Nothobranchius furzeri: one gene and its partner. The protein of the gene in region 2 purifies or fractionates together with the protein of the main gene of each other region. This does not show direct contact. Links are inferred from orthologs where the notes say so. Each region holds a gene or a part of one and is shown on either strand. Other genes may lie near its edges.

Region 1 (4,435 bases), on a different chromosome or scaffold from region 2:
TCATCGTCTCCTTCGCTCTCAGACGAGGACTCTCCAAACTGTTTGGGCTTCTCATAAATACAGCAGCCTGGAAATCAACACACAGGTCCAGGATCAGAACAGAACCAGAACATCTGGATTCAGAGGTTCCACAAAACCAGCTCTAGTTACAACATCAAACCAAAGTAAATCTAAAACCAATTCATGACTCAGATGAAGAGCGGCCTGCAAACCAGACTGGGCCCATTCAAATATCATGAACCTGCACAGGGATGATGACATCATCGGAACAGAGCAAGGCTGTAACTGGAGGTCCAGCAGGTCAGTACCAGGTCCTGGATCTCCACTGGGGTTGTCACCACCACCAGGTGTATCTGCAGATGGTCGGGGGTTGGACAGGTGACGTCAACAGTACCAGAGTTGTGTCTCAGGAGGGGTAAGGTGGCGCTGTCCCATCTTAACCCTGCCATCCTCCATGTCTGATGACCTTTACTCATGGTTTGACCGTCCTCCATAAACTACCCGGCAACAGCGTCACTCTTCTCATGTCCTCTGGTACCAGCTCCAGATGTTCCAGCATGTAGACCAGACACGCCCAAACTGCACCATTTTATTAGGTGTTCTGACTTCCCGAGTGGAGATTTTGTGCCAATATTTGTGTTTTTCTATAAATAAAAAGATTTTTATGATGATGGCAACACCTTTCAAGCACATTCAGAGATGTCTGACATGTTTAGGTTTGGATTAGTTTGGTAGTTGAAGGAGAAAAACTGGGCAGAACAACGGATCCAGTTCAGACAGAAGCAGCTGCTAGTACCAGCAGAACAACACACTAGGTTAGCTGCTTCTGCCTAGGTCACTGTAAAAATATCTCGGGGAGCAACAGAGCGATCTGTTGTGGTGAAAAGGAGCTAAGCCAGAAAGCAAAGCTCTGAACTCACTGCGGTCGTGAGCTGTCGGTTATGACAGAAAGACCAAGACCATACAAGCTGTTCAAATGACTTTCCTTCTCAGTTTAACTGCAGCTGGCATTATCCTGATACACAATAACATCAATGCAATGCTCAGTATGTGTCCCTTACAGCATGCTGCATAGTTCTGGAACCCAAAGCTTCATTTTTATTAGTGATTTTTTTTGTGCTCAAAGGTTACAATAATATTACTTTTTCTTCTAATTATTCTCTTAAGTGTTGGTGCTGCTGTAACAAGTGAATTTTCCCACTGTGGGATCAATAAAGTCTCTTCTATTCTTTGCAGAATAGCCGGGCTCAGCCTGTGAGAGAGGGTTAAGTAACCGCTGCTTCTCCACACGGAGAAGAACCAGCTAACCTGCTTCAGATATTTGTCAGGCTGCCGCTTGGACATCTCCCAAGGGAGATGTTTTGGGAGCGTTCTGCCTGCAGGAGGCCCCTCAGTCGACACAGGACATGCTGGAGGGATTATATCTCCAGGCTAGCCATGGCGTTGTTCCCACTGGTGGAGGATGCTGGTGTGAGGACAATCAGGGCTTTTCTGCTTGGGCTGCAACCCAGATCCAAAGAAGAAGATGAAACACCAACAAACTAAACCAAGACTCAAGTGCTGTGGGCGATTAACCAGACACCTTAAGATGTCTCAGCCATTTCTGATTTCATTGTTTAAGTTCTGAACCTGGGGCTGCACAGTGGTGCAGTGGTTAGCGCTGTTGCCTTGCAGCAAGAAGGTCCTGGGTTCACATCCCAGCCTGGGGTTTCTCTGCAAGGAGTTTGCATGTTCTCCCTGTGCACACGTGTGTTCTCTACAGGCACTCCAACTCCCTCCCACAATCCATAACCATGACTGTCAGGTTGGTTGACCCCATCTGCTTGCCCAGAGACAGCTGGAGATAGGCACCAGGCACCAGCCACCCCCACCCCCCACCCTGCATGGAAATAACGAAAATGGAAGTTCTCAACCTGAGAAAGCACCTTGACCTTTGACCCAGCGATCCTGACCACCCGACGATGGTCCTCTATTTTCTGAGAAGATATGTGAACTCACACTTTGAGGACCGTCTCCCCAGGTGCTCATTATCAACAGTGTCACTGGACCACTCCACCTTCTTCTCAGTCTTCCTCTTCCTCAGCTTGATGGTTAGGCTTCGTCCTTCCTGAGAAACATCAGATGTCAACAGGAGCAGTACTGAGTGTTTATAAAAGAAACCATGACATGGCATCACAAATGCTACAAGCACACTCCACCAACAGAACCATGACAGACCATGTATAAGACATTCATTATCACCACCCTACCTACCACTGAGCGTCAACAACACGGCTTCCTGTAGCTAACAGCAACCGGTGATGCTACCGAAAAAAGGGTCGCCAGACAACGCAATCGCATTTTAATCTACAAGATCTAGCCTACTGATGGAGTCTCGCTGAAAAACGTCGGATAGCAGAGTCTAAAGTTGTTTTATGTTGTATTTGTTCACCGTCGGTGATAAATGATCCGAGCCTAGTCTCGGTTTTGAAGAACAATTCATCTCTGAAACCCAAATGGTCCTTGTCACGAGTTCTGTTAACGCCCACAATATTGCAACAACCCATACAAACAGCTAAGACATGACAGGCTGATTATTCAGGTTAAATCAAAAATCAACACATCACATCCAATTACGACAGCAGATGAAACATTGGTTGTTAGCGACGCGGCCTCGGTAGGTCCTGAACACCGGACTGGTTTAACCCTAAAATCAATTAAAGTGTTTACCGACCAGTTCGATAGCGTATACCTGTTGGGGTGGCGGCGGAGTGCCAGTCTGGACAGTCTCCGTTATGGTTTCACTCGACGTCCCGGGGACCTCCGCCATCCCTGGAGCTGCTAGGCTAATGCTACCTTTACCTTGAAATCAGACGCAGAACCAGTGGAGTCGGGGGTCTGTGACGCGTCAACACGAATCTGTGGAAGCGTCAGTAACCGACCCTAAATCGTTAATTCACAAGCTTTGTTGAAAAAGCAAACAAATATTGTCCTTAAAATTATTAGTTGCAATAAATAGGAACTGGTCGCAAATTGTGAATCACGCTAACGCGACTCTAAACGGAAGTTAATGGTTTTCAAAATCCTAAAAGTACAAGGCAAGTCCGAGGTAGAGAGCTCATTTCTAGACTCATTAATTTAACTGCAGATGTGTTTTAAACTTTTTTTGCAATATCTATTGTACAAGGCTGTGGTGGATTATCTGATCTTAAAACAGAACAAGACATTTACTTTATATTTCAGTTCTGTGTGTGTTTGAGTTCAACTTGACAGCGGAAATGTTTGCGGGGAACCTATTTTGTGACGGACAAGCGTTTGTTTCCAATGTCCGTGAGGTCGGTAAACAGAACAAACGCTTGAGATTATAAACAGACTTACAATGGCACCAGCTCAAAAGTATATATAACGGAGAGGTGTTTATATAGCATTAAGTCGTAAGAACCTGAATACCCCTAAAGTTATTTAATTTAGTTAGGCGTAACAGATATGAATGGACTGTGCACTTTACCATTTTAGACATATCTAAAAACAACAAAAAATATATTTTAGCTCTATATTTTATGTATATATATTGTAGTGTTTAACTCAGGATGTGGAGGGCAGCTCGGAGGCTTTCAGGGACCAGAACAGCCAGACGCTGTTCCAACAACTCCTCCGTATTTTCGACCACCGTCTCCTCTCAGCCGAACCTCCCAGAAACAAAGCCCTCTGCCCGGCTTCAGGAGGAGAAGCGGAGGCGCAAACGGGACCGGGAGAAGCTCGTCCTGTCCAGCCCGCACACAGTAAGTCCGGTCAGACCTGCTAATAAAACCTGACGAGCTTACAGTAGTCAGAAAAGTATGTGTGTGAGGCTTAAGAAATTTAAAAAATGCAAGATGAGATATAAGAAAAAAGGTAGAAATACAAATATATACATAGAAATATGACTTTAATGAATGCAACAGTTAGGTTATTATAGTAATAGTGGATTTATTGCACTGACGACTGTTCAAGAGATTTTTTTGGTTCATTTGCTGTTTGGGGAAGATGCTGCCTCTCAGTCTGCAGGCTCTTGCTTTTGAGACTTTATAGTGCCTACTGGATGGCAGCAGTTCAAATGGATGTTGGCCGGGGTGGGAGTGGTCATGGATGATGTCATGGGCCCTGCTGATGCAGTGTGAGGTGGTGAGATCTTCCAGGGAGTGATGATGACGGCTGGTGAGCTGCTCTGCAGATTTGATGATCCTCTGCAGAGCCCCTTTATCTACAGCAGCAGAGAACCCAACAATACTTGAATACTGACTATGTGTATATACATGTACCTTTTCTTCAGATTATTCTGTATTATGTGTTGGAGCATGCTCTCCATGGTTGTCAGGTGGAAGACCACCAGCGCCTTACTCTGCAGGTTATTCCTCCTGAGTCAGTGATGTGTTCTCTTCACAAGTTGGGTTATGTCTGTTGACCAGATGAGGTC
Region 2 (4,391 bases):
TTAGCGTCATTGTTCCAAGTATTTCGGTCACATGTCTGAAGGTGTGAATGGTTGTGAAACTCTAGAGGAGAGCTGTAGGTGGTTGGGGTTTTTCCTGTGTAAACAGCTTTGTTCTTGATGCACTTAATCTTTCGTTTACTGTCCAAAACAACTCTATCAGATGTAGGTGGGGTTTGATTAGTTAAGTTTCTCCTTCACGAGGCTGCACTAGACCACACAGTTCGGCTTGTTTGGGTGTTTTCTCCTCAGGTGACCCAGGTTCTTTGTGCCCACATGGCCGAGTCTTTGTAAAACCAAATATAGGAAGAAAACTGGTGGTTCGCACCTCCTCATTTTCAGCAGAAATCCTGCGAAGCACATTTATAGGTGTGCCGAGCCTGTGGGAGCAACGTTTCCCCAAATCTTTCCTCGTGTGTCTACAGCGAGCGTTTGTACTAATGGGTGATGAGATTAGGAGTTGGTTTAAGTTTGTAAAGTTCGATGACAAAAGATTCCATCAAAAGGACAGACCGAAATGTCAATAAAAACTCTCTGCTGACTGAAATCAGCTTATCGAGTGACTCTGTGGTGGCATCAGCGATCCTGTACAGTGTGGTCTGTTGGAGGAGCAGCATTACAGAGAGAGAGAGAGAGGAAGAAGCTGGACAGGGTGATCAGGAAGTCCAGCCCAGCTCTGTCCTGGGTTGTCCTCTAGACTCCTCAATACGGGATGGGGGGGGGGGGGGGGGGGGCAGGATAATCCATGTACAGGGTATCTGCAGGTTTAAGGGAGCCAAATTTAATACTTTTTAAGACCTTTCTTAAGACCACTTTGACCAAATTTAAGCAACTTTTAAAAATTTTATTTAAGCTATAATTTCCAGCTATTGCCTGGAACCGGTGCTAACCACGTCGCGAAACATGGGATTAGCCATCCAGTTACCATTACTGTTGCACTTCCCCATGGCGCAAGCTCCCACTAGCTTAACCAGCTAATGTGCTCATCTAAAAGTAGCCCTCTTTCACAACCAACTGAATGTGTACGGTTCCGCTTACGGCAACATCGTACACAAAAAATGCCGAACACCAACTACAAATTCACAAAATTTTTTATAGAAATAAAAGAATCTTGTTTATTGGGTCTTTAGTAATTTAAGACCTTTGGAAACTGTATTTAAGGATTATTTGTCATTTTTAAAGATTTTTAAGGCCTTAAATTTGGAAAAGCTAATTTAAGACTTTTTAAGACTTTTTAAGGACCCGCGGATGCCCTGATGTAAAATCGTGATCCATGCTGGACCACGAGTCACACCGCCTACATGACGCTCTGTCTGCTCTGGAGAGCAGCTTCAGCGACACACTGATCCGTCCTCGCTGTGAAGGAGAGATACTGCAGGTCTTTCTTTCCTGCTGCTGTTAGACTCTAACGGACACTTCTAATATGCAACTTATCCCTCTGTAACATGCCAGTACAACGGTCATCATCTTTTAAGACGTGTGCGTTATTTACATTACTATTGCTAGTCTGTGTAATAATTGTCTTCACTAAAAATTCAACTATTTACTGCGATATCTTGTGTGCTACTGCTGTTTTACTGTACTTGTTACTTGTGTTAAAAACCAGAACTTTCAAATTATTCAGAAAAAAAATTGTTAATAGTTTTGAGATACATTGGAGTTGGCCAATCAATAAATCAGAACTCCATCCATCCATCCATCCATCCTGTTCCGCGTATCCAGAGTCTGGTCACGGGTCACTAAGGCAAGAGGCCCAGACTTCCCTCTCCCCAGCCACTTGGGCCAGCTCCTCTGGGGGAATCCCAAGGTGTTCTCTGGCCAGCCAAGAGACATAGTCCCTCCAGCGTCTCCTGGATCTTCCTTTAGGTCTCCTCCTGCTTGGACGTGCCCAGAAAACCTCACCTGGGAGGTGTACAAGAGGCATCCTAACTAGATGACAGAACCACCTGAACAGTCAGAGCTGTACAAACAACAATCTGTGGTATTGGTCCACAAAACCACAATCGGTGCATGTGTAGTTTAGATTCACCAAACAGCCAAGGCAGCTTATCTGATTATTATATAATTTGATCTAAAGAAGTCATTTAATGAGGTGAAGAATTCAAGCGCTTAGTGGTACCTGCACTCATGCTGTGAATGCCAGGGCCTTGTAGCTTTAAGGGCATCCTCTCCAGGTATTCTGGACCAGCCTCATTACTGTAATTGTCAGGAGTTAAACTGATAAACACTGGTCCTCTCCTCTTTGTCTGAATTAGCTAACAAAATGTATTAAATGTCTCTTGGTTTAACAGTGACGTTTCCATAATAAAGGCAGAAAGCAGGCAGCCTGTGGCGTTATAGCTCATTTGAATCCATAAACGCTCAAACGACACACAAGCTAAACAAAACATGTGGATTTTTTAGACAGATATAGACACACAATAGGCGTATTCGCATGCGAGTGTCAAGCGGAAGGTGAAATACCAAAATGCCAGTCTCATCGACTCATCTTGAGCTGCACGTCTGAAGCCTGAAGTTTCAGGCAGCGGCTTTTCTGCTGGATCAAGCTAGCTGGGTAAGTGACATAACAGTGCCGTATGTCTGCAGCTGGTGTCGTAAAACGTGTCGCGAACTCTGTTTAATCAATCAATCAAAGCTTTATTTATATAGCGCCTTCCGCAACCCTGTCGGGTAGCCCAAGGCGCTGAACATGGTACATGACAAAGTAAAATATGGTGAATAAATCAAAAATAAAAGCAGTTCAGATTACAAATTACAAAAAAGGTAAAACATTCTAGTAGAGGACAAATTGGTAAAACAATGGATTGAGTGAACCAATGAAAACAGGGAAATAAAATCAACATTAAAGATGGCCAAATTAAACACGTTCAGGAAACGCCAAGCGGAGGAGGTGGGTTTTTAGGCGACTCTTAAAGACTGGCAGAGATGAGGACAGCCTAACTGAGGGTGGCAACTGGTTCCAGAGTGACGGTGCTAGGACTGAGAAACCCCGGTCCCCGCGAGTACGACACCTCGAACGAGGGACAGCGAGCAGGCCTTGGTCAGAGGAGCGCAGAGCGCGTGATGGGGAATATCTGTTCAGGAGTGTGGCTAGATAGGGGGGAGCATTACTCTGGAAGAAATTGTAGACAAAGACGAGGAGTTTGAAGTGTGAACGATAACAAACCGGAAGCCAGTGCAGGGAGGCCAGAACCGGACTGATGTGGTCCCGTTTCCTGGTCCCAGTCAAGAACCTGGCTGTGCTGTTCTGCACAACCTGTAGGCGACACAGTGATGACTGACACAACCCTGCATAGAGAGAGCTGCAGTAATCATGCCTAGAAATTACAAATGCATGCAGTACCCGCTCCAGGTGGGCTCTTGACAGCATATGCGTGATTTTTGCAAGGCGTCTCAGGTGAAAGAAACTGGACCGGATCACAGAGTTGATGTGGACATCAAATTTAAGTCCAGCATCAACTTTCACCCCCAAACTGGTGACGACTGGTTTTGAGTAGGGAGAAAGAGGGCCAAGATCAACATAACGACCCACATTCCTGCTGTTGGGGTGAAAAACAATGAACTCTGTCTTTCCCTCATTCAGATGCAGATCGTTGGCCATTAGCCAAGACTTCACCTCGTTAATGCAGGACACAAAGGACTGGATAGAGTGACCTTTCTCCTGACACAATGGAGAGTAAATCTGGCAATCGTCAGCATAGAGATGGAATGATAGGCCATGTTTACGAATGACTGACCCCAGAGGAAGCAGATAAATGGTAAACAAAAGAGGACCAAGGATCGATCCCTGCGGGACCCCCCAACGGAGCCCCTCCCAAGAAGAAAAAAACATCACCCAGTTTAACACAGAATGTCCTGTTGTGGAGATACGATCTAAACCAATCCAGAGCTGACCCTTTGATCCCAACCCATCGTTCTAAGCGATCCAGTAGAATCGTGTGGTCAACTGTGCCGAAGGCTGCCGTCAGGTCTAACAACAGAAGCACCACAGATGTACCTTGATCTAGTGATAGATAGATGTCATTTAGGACACTCAGTAGAGCAGACTCTGTGCTATGGCCAGACCTGAACCCTGATTGGAAAACCTCAAACAGATCAGAGTCAGCTAAATGTGAGACCAGCTGCTGATAAACGACTTTCTCAAGCAGTTTTGATGTAAAAGGCAGGGTAGAGATAGGCCTGTAATTTGTGATCACAGAGACATCAGCACCAGGTTTCGTCAGGGTCGGCCGAACAACAACTGCTTTCAAAGCAGCTGGGACCACACCTGTGCTGAGGCTCCCATTGATAATCTGACCGAGTGAAGGGCCAAGACACGGAAAGGCAGCCTTCCAGAGACGAGGCGGCAGAACTTCAAGTGGAGAGCCAGATGGCCTCTGCCTTGCAACAAGCTT

The links.
Region 1: the proteins of ubxn2a (region 2) and ppp1r11 purify together in Homo sapiens (affinity purification with mass spectrometry; 3 studies listed by BioGRID and IntAct, counting the BioPlex papers as one, with this or other methods). This does not show direct contact. The link is inferred for Nothobranchius furzeri from reciprocal best matches to the Homo sapiens genes UBXN2A and PPP1R11.

Annotation. Positions count from the first base shown.
Region 1 is NC_091751.1:25,909,031-25,913,465, reverse strand, and holds the start of ppp1r11 (E3 ubiquitin-protein ligase PPP1R11), read right to left. Parts: upstream 3,015-4,435; 5' UTR 2,810-3,014; coding exon 2,732-2,809; intron 2,657-2,731; exon of another isoform or gene 2,641-2,656; intron 2,108-2,640; coding exon 1,999-2,107; intron 68-1,998; coding exon 1-67. Other genes in the region: vars2 (valine--tRNA ligase, mitochondrial), read left to right, coding at 3,570-3,761. UniProt on the Homo sapiens protein: Atypical E3 ubiquitin-protein ligase which ubiquitinates TLR2 at 'Lys-754' leading to its degradation by the proteasome.
Region 2 is NC_091742.1:21,872,164-21,876,554, forward strand, and holds the start of ubxn2a (UBX domain-containing protein 2A), read right to left. Parts: upstream 3,002-4,391; 5' UTR 2,478-3,001; coding exon of another isoform or gene 2,461-2,477; intron 2,194-2,460; 5' UTR 2,117-2,193; intron 1-2,116. UniProt on the Homo sapiens protein: Acts to repress the ubiquitination and subsequent endoplasmic reticulum-associated degradation of CHRNA3 by the STUB1-VCP-UBXN2A complex in cortical neurons.